2 linked regions of the Daphnia pulex genome follow. The protein of the gene in region 1 binds, or shares a complex with, the protein of each later gene. Links are inferred from orthologs where the notes say so. Each region holds a gene or a part of one and is shown on either strand. Other genes may lie near its edges.

Region 1 (4,648 bases):
TGGATATAATATCTGTAATTTTGATCTGCCGTATTTACTCAATCGCGCAAAACACTTGAAGCGTGGCAAATTTGATTTCCTTGGACGCATTAAAGATAAAAAGTGAGCCACACCGAGCAAATACATACAAAAATAATTCGATTAATAATTAATCAAATAATAATAATTAATTAAAAATTACAATGCTATTAGATCGGCTATTAAAGAAACGATGATTCAGAGTAAGCAAATGGGGCGCAGGGAAAACAAAAGCATCAACATTGAAGGCCGTGTCCAGTTTGATCTTCTTCTAGTATTGCTACGTGATTACAAACTTCGTTCCTACACTCTCAATTCGGTCAGCTACCACTTTTTATGCGAGCAAAAGGAAGACGTCCATCATTCAATTATCACGGAATTGCAAGAAGGCAATCCGCAAACTCGTCGACGGTATTCAGTTCAAATAACTTGTATACTTTTTATGTCTTCAACATTTCTTTGAGTCTTACAGACTTGCGGTTTACTGCCTTAAAGATGCCCATCTACCACTTCGCCTGCTAGACAAGCTCATGTGCTTGACTAACTACATGGAAATGGCTCGTGTAACAGGCGTACCCCTATCCTACCTATTAACTCGTGGCCAACAGATCAAAGTTGTCTCACAGTTGTTAAGAAAAGTAAGGAAACTTAAGCTATAAATATTTTAGAAAATCCTTACAAAACTTTTGCACTTTGAATAGGCCAAGGAACAGGGCTTATTGATGCCCGTCCATAAAGCAGAGGCGGGAGAGGAATTTGAAGGTGCGACAGTTATCGAACCTATTCGAGGTTACTACAGTCAACCCATCGCTACATTGGATTTTTCTTCGCTGTATCCTTCCATTATGATGGCCCACAACTTGTGCTATACTTCCTTGTTGAATCCGCGTGACAAGGATAAGCTGAAAGAGGACCAATATATCAAAACACCTGCAGGCAACTACTTTGTAAAGGCCTCCGTGCGGAAAGGACTCTTACCGGAGATTTTGGAAGCACTGTTGGCGGCCAGGAAAAAAGCCAAGAAGGATTTGGCTGTGGAGACAGATCCTCTAAGAAAGAAGGTTCTTGACGGTCGCCAGCTCGCCTTAAAGATTTCAGCCAACAGTGTTTATGGTTTCACTGGCGCTCAAGTCGGAAAATTACCGTGTCTAGAAATTTCGCAAAGTGTAACAGCGTTCGGCCGAATGATGATTGAGAAAACTAGTACGGAAGTGGAAGCCAAGTTTCGCGTTGAGAATGGCTATGCTCATGATGCCAAGGTAAACGAAAAAGAATTGCACAATGCAAACACATTTATCGGTTTCAATTGAATCTGAACATTTTGTAGGTAATTTACGGTGACACAGATTCTGTGATGGTGAAGTTCGGTGTATCTACGGTAGCAGAAGCGATGGTTTTAGGTCGGGAAGCAGCCGAATTTGTATCGGCTAAGTTCATCAAGCCCATTAATTTGGAATTCGAAAAAGTTTATTTCCCCTATTTATTAATCAACAAAAAGAGGTAAATTCTGCTTTCAAATGTACTAATTGCAGAAACGATTTTATAACGGCTTCCTACTTATTTATAGGTACGCAGGACTGTACTGGACCAAACCTGAACAGTTTGACAAGATGGATTGCAAAGGTATTGAAACAGTTCGACGAGACAACTGTCAGCTAGTCGCTAACCTTATCAACACCTGTCTTCAGAAAATCCTGATGGATCGGTAAACAGTTGTCACGCTTCATGGATATCCTAATATAAAGTATACTTTTCCTTTATTTTAACAAAAAAATAATAGAGATCCAGATGGAGCCTTGGAGTACGCAAAACAAACAATTTCGGACTTGCTTTGCAACAAGGTCGACATTTCACTCCTAGTAATTACTAAGGTAACTACTAAGAGAAAATAAAAATATGATTGTCACGTTCCGAGGATGTTTTAAAACTGTTAAGTCTATCGTGTTGGGGTTGTAGGAGCTGACCAAGACGGATAAGGACTACGCTAACAAACAGGCACACGTGGAATTAGCTCACAAAATGCGTAAACGAGACGCTGGTACTGCTCCAAAATTAGGTGATCGAGTCCCTTACGTCATTATTGCCGCCGCGAAAAACACTCCAGCCTATCTCAAAGTACACATTTTTCAGCTCCTTTGAAATTTTTCGTGAATCTGTTAATTGTTTACTGTTATTTTAGGCTGAAGATCCTATTTATGTTCTGGAAAACAGCATACCCATAGATGCACAATACTATTTAGAAAATCAACTTTCGAAACCTCTTGTCCGAATTTTCGAACCAATCCTTGGATCCAAAGCGGAATCTTCGTTATTACGTAAACAGACACAACATTGTGTGAATACATGTAGCGCATATAACCTATTTATTTGTTTAGATGGCGACCATACTCGAACACGTTCAGTTATCACCTCAAAAGTAGGTGGGCTGGCGAAGTTTACTTCCCGCAAATCAACTTGTATTGGATGTAAGACTGTCCTTCCAAATGACAGTGCCGTTTGCAAGTAATAATCATAATAATTTTTCGCCTTTTATTAAATTTCAATATCCTAATAATAAAATTAAACAGATTTTGTAAGCCGAAAGAGTCGGAATTTTATCAGAGAGAAGTTGGTCAACTTTACGCTCTTGAAGAAAAATTCAACCGTCTTTGGACTGAGTGCCAGCGTTGTCAAGGTAGCCTTAACGAGGAGGTTCTCTGTTCAAAGTAAGTTGTATTTGTGTTGTGTATTTGAATTGAGACTCATGTTTTAATTGATTAATTTTTAAACTTAGTCGGGATTGCCCCATCTTTTACATGCGCAAGAAAGTTCAAAAGGACCTTTGTGAACAAGAAAAACTTATGAAAAGGTTTGGCCAACCTTAGTTCTCGTCTAATCTGTCGAAGTCGAATGTTTTTGGCTGTAAATTAAATTCGAAACAATAAAATTTATAAAGAAAACGTTTATTTCGATTCATTCATTTAAGTGTTAAGCCGGTTAAACGAACAAAAATTTTCAGGCAAGCTAAAAAATTCGGCTCAGAATAAAAAACTGCACTGTTACAAAATATTTTGGACGAAAATTTAGATATTTCGGTTCAGTGATAAATTCCTTTTATATTGTGTTACATACTTAACTTATAAATATCCTAATCACCATCTGCCAAGCATAAATCCAAATTTAAAAAAAAAAAAAAAGAAGTAAATTGCGGAAACTGAACGACATTCTTTTTGCGGTTTTCCGAACTCCGTTCCCACCAAGTAGGGATTCCATATAGCATCTCTTGATTTAGTTACAGTTTACAGACGACGGCGACGCTGAGTTTGAACACTACTACATTTTTTAAAAGTTGACCGACTTGACGTCTCTAATTTGTGATCAGATAAACAGATTTTAATTTGTTAATTACCAATTACGTCCTTCCACTAAGCATACTGACTTCATATAAAAAAAATGGAAAACTCCTCTAGAAATGTGGTCGATGACTTAGATTCGACTGTCCTCCGACATCAGGTAAAATGTTCATAACAAATACTTATTAAGCATTTCTTTAAATACTCATTCTTTTTTCTTTGGTAGGTTCAGAGATATTTCAATGAATTAAACCAAGAAGGTGGAAGTCCTCTTAATATGGAGTTTTTAAGTATGAAGAGGAAACCTGCAAGCATGGCTGTCTCTACCTCATCCTTGCGGACTTCTACGTTGGATTCTTTTCTTCCCAAGAAAATTCGCTTTGATTCTAGTGTTACTGGAGAAAGTTCTTTTACAGGAGAATCTTCTCTTTTTTCTAAAAGAAATGCAGCTGAATCGTTCAGCCAATCACTTAATAAGTCAACAAAGCTAGATGTTGGAGCCCAGTATGAACAGAAATTATCAGAAAAACAGGCCAACATTCTTGAATTGCAGCAGAAAATTATCAAGACAGAAATGAAATTGAATAATTTTGTGACAGCCAAGGATCAACTCGAGCATGACCTGTCAAATTTGAAAGAGACATGCAAGACCAAAGTTAAACATTATGAAGATAAAATTGATGATCTTTATGTAAGTTTACTAAAAAAAATTCATTGACTTATTTAAACTAGAAATAACAGATTTTGTTTAGGTGGAAATCAAGCAACTTCATCTAAAAAATGAACAATTGTCTAAAGAAAATCTATTGAAAACAGAAGCAGTTGAGCAAATTAAGTTACTTTCTGCGGAGGAAAAGCTATCATGTAGTAAGGAACTTGCTGTATCAGAACAGAAAATCATTGATATTGAACAAGGGTATGAAGAAAAAATCAAGAAGTTAGAACTCAAATTGGAAAATGCTCTATTGAAAGTAAGTCAATATCAAATGGAAGCAGAGGAAGCGAAAAATCAACTTAAACTTAAAGAAAGAGTGGTGAGCCCATCATCCAACCATCAGGTTGTTATTGAGCAGCAGAGTCAAGTAATATTTGAAATGCAGAATGCACTTTTTGCTCAGAGAACAACTTTTTCTCAATCTCAAGAAGCAAAACTATCTAGAATTCCCCAGGTGTGTGCTTAATTGCAGTTTATGAAACAAACAAAAAAACTTAATATTCTTCCATTTTTTAATTTCAGTTAGAAAAAGAGCTTCTGCAGCTGCAAGAGACCAATAAATTATATCGAGAAACAGCTGCAA
Region 2 (5,846 bases), on another chromosome or scaffold:
TCTTCTTCCCTATTGGTATCCTGTGTTGTTTAGCTCTACGCCAAAGGCGTTGTCTTAATTGTGGAGCAGTTTTTTGAATCAGTCATATAAATTTATTAAACTAATCACCTATTCTTGACCAACTCTAATTCAATTGGGATTTTTTTGAATAATCATAGAATTTGTGAAATCCAAAATTGTCGCGTTTTATCTGATTGTAAACAATATTCCAAATACCCTATGTGAAAAGTGCCTCTGTAATATGAAATGCTATTAATTTCATTTTTAAATGGACAATAAAAAATTACACGTACATGAATAATTCTCTTTGTTTTGTTCATATATTTTGACAGAATTTAAAAATTTTATGATACTCTTAAACAAATAATTATTTTGGTTTTCATAATTTTAATCTACAATATGTGAAACAACAGATAACAAACCAAAATGTTCATTTAATTGTATGATTAACTCTTCCACACTTGGGGCAAACAACATCTCTTTTGTTGGCACAATGTCGGTGATAAACGCTGTAACAGCCCTCACACTGCGTCGCAGAAATTTCGAAGGGGAAGAGTTCCGGAAGTTGACCACATAATCGACATACATGACCTTTACCCCGACATCCCTAATTAATGAAAGTTTTAAACACAAGTAGGAATTGTTAGTTGTAAAATAAAATAAAATACCACACAATCTTGCGTAATATGCATTAAAAATTGATTGTGTATAGGTTCAAGGTAGGATATCAAATCTTTTTTGTCAATGTCCATAAGATCCTATTAAAATATGAAGAAGATTTGTATGAATTTCGAGTACTAGAATTGTTGCTTTGGTTTTACTTACTTGAATACTATAGTAATCAGAATTTTCTACATAATGTTGACGATCTTCTAAAAGCCGAAGTAATTTAGCTTCCAACGCATCTTTGCATGTTAGGATGTATTCCTTCATGATCATAAAATCGCTTCTTAAACGCTAAAAAAATAAAATGTCTCAATTTTTTCTTTGAAATACAGATTTTACTCAACATATTAAATTTACCTTGACATAAGCTAGTTCTTCTACAAAACTAAATAGCTTGGGGTTGATGGTTTCTAAATTGATAATTGATTTCTTCATCATTAAATTTAAGTATTGTTTTGATCCTTTAGAAACTGGATATTCATGAAAGTCCCAATTCAACACTACCCTTGAAGGAATTACACTTAAACTTCCCCAATGACATTCACTGCAGAAGTAATTACCAGAATAATCACATAAGAGGGGTTGAGTAAGGGCAGTGTCTACAACCCAATAAAAATGATAACAGATGTAGTGAGACTAGAATAAACTTAACTTCGAAAATAATCTAGGTATACGATTTAAGGATTTACTTACTGAAGGATATTCCCGCTTTGCATTCAGCACAACGATAATTTTGATTTCTTAAACTTTTCTCTGGACAAATTTCTAGAACGTAGCAAGGATTTTCTTTAACTTTAACAGAAGCGCATATTCGTTTGACACTATTCAGACATTGTCCATGAGATATGTAATCACATTCTAAAAATTAAATAAAAAAATATTAAATCTTGAGCATGAACTCCAACATCATAGAAAAATACCTAAACAAACAAAGCAACTTTGAACTGGTATCCAAATAAGGCCAGAACATGTTTCACAATATATTTGGGATGGATGAAATTTCAACTGTGTTACAGTTTGACAAACAAACTTGTGGCTTTGCACCACCTTCATTTTCTTAGGATCCATGTATATTTCAAGTTCTTGTACTTCTTGAAGTCTAAGTCTCAGCTTAACTAATCTCTGTACTAATAGGCGTTTTTCTTCAGATATTTCCTCCAACGCAAGAATTTTTTCTTTACAAGTATCGATAGCTAGCTGAATGTCAATGGTCTTTTCCATATTCCATACTTCTTCGTGTTGCGAGGAATAATAATTTTCATCCACTGGAAGACAATGCAAGCTACCAGATTCGTCTCCGTTTGAATCACTCTTTTTGGAGGTGTCACTGACAGACATTTCAACACAAACCTGAAAAGACACGAATCACCATTGCATACAAATGCTTTTTTGTTTGTTTGTTCGTTCGTTTTTTTTTTTTTGCGGGACAACTGACACTAATCTTTTGTATCCTTAATTTCTTCTGCTGTGCTGACTGCTGAGTAAGTAAACAATGCAACGCTGTGAGTTCGCATTTATTGTTGTTCGCTTTTTTTTAAATCGTGCAGTAGCGCACCCTCTCGTGTTGTTTTTGTTGTCTGCTGTCTTAGTACTTTTGGCGGGTTCTGTATTCGATTAGAGAAAGAATGGAGGCTGTTCGTTATGAACGCAAAGAACTGGACTATGAGGACTTGTCAAGTACGTTTAAGTTGGTCAATCGTGATTTCAATAGGCAATATGCCGGTATATATGCCGTCAGGCTTACGAAATTTCGAACTTTACTTGAGGAACGCGTTGAAAAGAAATGGGGTAAGAGTCAAATTCCACAATGAGCTGTGTAACCAATAACTGAATTCATTACTTTGTCTTGTTAAGGTAAGCAATATCCCATCAAGAAGCTTGTTGACCTAGTTCCCAATGAAAAGGTGTTGTATTCATTTTTCTTCTCATAAAATTTTCATGGGAATTTCATAACATAATCTTTATAAATCTAAGGTTTTTGTGTTTGGGACCATCTATAAACAGCAAGAACTAAAACCAAGTATTTTAAGAGAAGTCAGTGATGAGGTAATAAGGTTTAAATTACCATCTACATTTTCATGACTTCATTAGTGTATAACTGTATATCATAATTACTCTGTATTTCAGCATCAAGTATTACCACTACCTCCCAAAGCAAGATATGTTTCAGGAACTGATATTCTAATATTGGAAGATGAATTGCAACGCATTTTGCTTGTTGGCAACACAAATGTAGGGGAATTTGTCACTGGGGTTGTTATTGCATTGCTTGGCCATGAAGATGATTCAGGAAAGTTTATTGTTGAGGATATCTGTCCTGCTGACATGCCTGTGGTAGTGAACTCCCCCAAAATTGACTTCAGCACACCTAGGTGCCAATCTTAAAATCAACAGCTATGTTTTATCATGTTACTAATCTGAGTTTTATTACTTTTTAGATTCATTGCCTTAATATCTGGCTTAGATTTAGGAAGTGGTAATGACTCATATTTACTGATGCAAGAAATGATTTTCACATTGATGGGGAAAACTGGGACTCCGGAAGTTCAAGAAATAATGTCTAAAGTTTCAAGATTAATCATTGCAGGTAAAACAAATGAATTAATTCCTGAACTCCTATTATTTCAATTCAGTTCTATTTTTCTTTTTATTAGGGAACTCGTTAAGTTCTGCAACTCAAGATCGCCATATTTTGGACAAAGCAAAATATCTGATGCGCAATAATATGGTAGCTAGCATTGAAGCTGTTCAACAGTTGGATGACATCATTTTCCAATTAGCAGTACGTAAGAACCGAATATTATAAAATAAATTTATAAAGTTGTTAAAAGATCTTCATTTATGTCGTCATTTATGATAACTGCAGAGTTCCATAACCGTGGATGTAATGCCCGGAGCCCATGATCCAGCTAATTTTGTCCTTCCTCAACAGCCATTACACCACTGTCTGCTTCCGCAAAGTTATCAGTTATCTACATTCCATGCAGTTAGCAATCCATATAATTGCCGAATTGGAGGTCGCATAGTCATGGGAAACTCTGGGCAACCTGTTTTGGATATCCTGATGAACTCTTCTCTAGAGCATCCGTTAGACGCCATGGAAAAAACTTTAGAATGGAGACACATGTGTCCGACTGCCCCAGATACTTTAGGTTGTTATCCATACGATGACGACGATCCTTTCATTTTTAACACTTGTCCTGATATTTATTTCGCTGGAAATCAGGAATCATTTGGTGATCGTTTGTGGAAAAGTATGTTTTCAGCAAATAACACATTATTTCTAGGGTATCTTTAACGTATCAATCTCCTAATTTTACAGGCGCTGATGGTCACCCTGTCCGGCTTATTTCATTGCCAAGGTTTTCAGAATCGGGAACCATTGTAATTGTTGACGCGAATACTTTGGAATGCTTCACGCTGAGTTTTGGAACCGATGAAGATTCTGGCGTCGATCATTGAAGGATTAGCTTTCAATACTAGTTAACTAAGCATTATTCAAGATTTTCATGTTTATGCAGATCACGTTTTTGAATGATTGGCAATTCTTTCGGAGTAAAAATAAACTTGGTAATAAAGTATTTTAAATATTTAATAGTAACTTTATTCATTGATTTGTAAAAAAATCACAAAACTCCATCACAATGTAATTTAAACTCTGTTTATTTTAAGTGTTTGTGAAAAAACTAAAAAAAGTTAAAAAATAACAGTTATAGTTGAGTTTAGTCTAACGTTTAGATGTAAGATATTAATATGTGTATTGAATTTCAGGAAATCGTGGACGATCCGGTATACGCACCAACGCACAACGACGGTAGGCCTACATGCAAGAGGAAAAACTATTCAGAATTTGAGTCAATGAGCGAATGAGGCATGCCGGCATGGTATCACAGATTCACAGTCCGATTTAACATATTTTATAATCTCGAAAGGCAACGTTGCTCATTTTGAAGTTCACTACTACTTCTGCTCATCTCTGAGTCTGAGGACTCTGACCAAATTTCTAAGTCAAACTTTCTCCTTATCGACCCAACATACGTGCTACGTGATAGAAAAACCCAGAATACTTCATCACCCTAGAAATCAAAGGTAGTGAATTAAGAACTTACCTTTCTCTGAAATGGACGCCCTTGGAAAGGTATTTATAATTTTTCAACCAAATAATCCTTAAAAAACTTTAAGACTACATCTAGGTATTCCAAAAGTAATGATGAACTCATTTTTGATTCAAGTAAAAAAAATGTCAATTATTGCATTTGACGACGCGTTTGCAACATGCTTATTTATTTAAACATATATATTGTTATTATTGAATTGTGACTATCTTTAATGTGGACCCAATTTCACAATTAAAATTTGATGTAGCTATTAACTACTCTTTCACTATTATGCTAGGCTACTACTTTTTGGATTAAAAATCTTTTGCATATTTGTAGAGCTCTAAATATAATTTTAATTGATAAAATTTTGTAAATATTTGATGTAGAGCTTACCTATTGTCACTGGCATTGGTATTGTGGTTTTTACTGCTGTTGCTGCAAAGTTATATTTCAACTGGCTCCAACCAAAAGAAAAATCTGCCAAACAGAAGGAATTAAAGACACTACTTGATCCTCAAACAAAATATCCTTTAAAATTGATTGAACGCCATGTAATCAACCATGACACCAGGAGATTCAGGTTTGCCCTCCCTTCTCCACAACATGTTCTTGGTAATAGCAATAATCAACTGGTGATGAAGAAATTGTTTTTTTTTTTTTGTAATTAACCCTTTATTAACACTTTTTTTTCACAAGGTCTTCCTGTTGGTCAGCATGTCTATTTATCAGCAAGAGTCAATGACCAGCTGGTAATTCGCGCTTATACCCCTGTATCGTGTGATGAGGAAAAGGGATATTTCGATTTAGTCGTGAAGGTATTGCTAGTTAGCAGTCTGAAAAAATATTAGTAAAAATCGTTTTCTTTTGATCTTTTGATTATTTAGGTTTATTTCAAAGATGTTAATCCGAAATTCCCGGATGGAGGAAAATTAACACAATATTTAGAAAACCTTGCCATCGGAGAATCCATTGACGTCCGAGGTCCATCTGGGTTGTTGGTACACCAAGGCCCAGGATTGTTTGCCATAAAGCCGGATAAAAAATCACCTTCTTTTAATATGGGTTTCAAAAAACTTAATA

Evidence for each region. Proteins that work in one complex are often made in the same cells at the same time.
Region 2: DNA polymerase delta catalytic subunit-like (region 1) and DNA polymerase delta subunit 2-like share a complex: the UniProt entries of both Homo sapiens proteins name them as parts of the tetrameric DNA polymerase delta complex. The link is inferred for Daphnia pulex from reciprocal best matches to the Homo sapiens genes POLD1 and POLD2.

The regions. Positions count from the first base shown.
Region 1 is NC_060019.1:7,339,058-7,343,705, forward strand, and holds the end of DNA polymerase delta catalytic subunit-like, read left to right. Parts: coding exon 1-102; intron 103-192; coding exon 193-429; intron 430-490; coding exon 491-656; intron 657-719; coding exon 720-1,277; intron 1,278-1,345; coding exon 1,346-1,518; intron 1,519-1,585; coding exon 1,586-1,723; intron 1,724-1,798; coding exon 1,799-1,889; intron 1,890-1,974; coding exon 1,975-2,133; intron 2,134-2,197; coding exon 2,198-2,333; intron 2,334-2,393; coding exon 2,394-2,520; intron 2,521-2,585; coding exon 2,586-2,723; intron 2,724-2,791; coding exon 2,792-2,882; 3' UTR 2,883-2,957; downstream 2,958-4,648. Other genes in the region: mitotic spindle assembly checkpoint protein MAD1-like, read left to right, coding at 3,451-3,510, 3,577-4,041, 4,103-4,519, 4,588-4,648. UniProt on the Homo sapiens protein: As the catalytic component of the trimeric (Pol-delta3 complex) and tetrameric DNA polymerase delta complexes (Pol-delta4 complex), plays a crucial role in high fidelity genome replication, including in lagging strand synthesis, and repair.
Region 2 is NC_060018.1:6,862,562-6,868,407, reverse strand, and holds DNA polymerase delta subunit 2-like, read left to right. Parts: upstream 1-2,232; 5' UTR 2,233-2,291; coding exon 2,292-2,454; intron 2,455-2,520; coding exon 2,521-2,570; intron 2,571-2,640; coding exon 2,641-2,712; intron 2,713-2,793; coding exon 2,794-3,038; intron 3,039-3,104; coding exon 3,105-3,253; intron 3,254-3,320; coding exon 3,321-3,448; intron 3,449-3,532; coding exon 3,533-3,920; intron 3,921-3,988; coding exon 3,989-4,128; 3' UTR 4,129-4,236; downstream 4,237-5,846. Other genes in the region: brain protein I3-like, read left to right, coding at 1-77; differentially expressed in FDCP 8 homolog, read right to left, coding at 431-607, 669-758, 826-957, 1,024-1,265, 1,360-1,524, 1,587-2,004; NADH-cytochrome b5 reductase 3-like, read left to right, coding at 4,787-4,804, 5,153-5,378, 5,463-5,581, 5,651-5,846. UniProt on the Homo sapiens protein: Accessory component of both the DNA polymerase delta complex and the DNA polymerase zeta complex.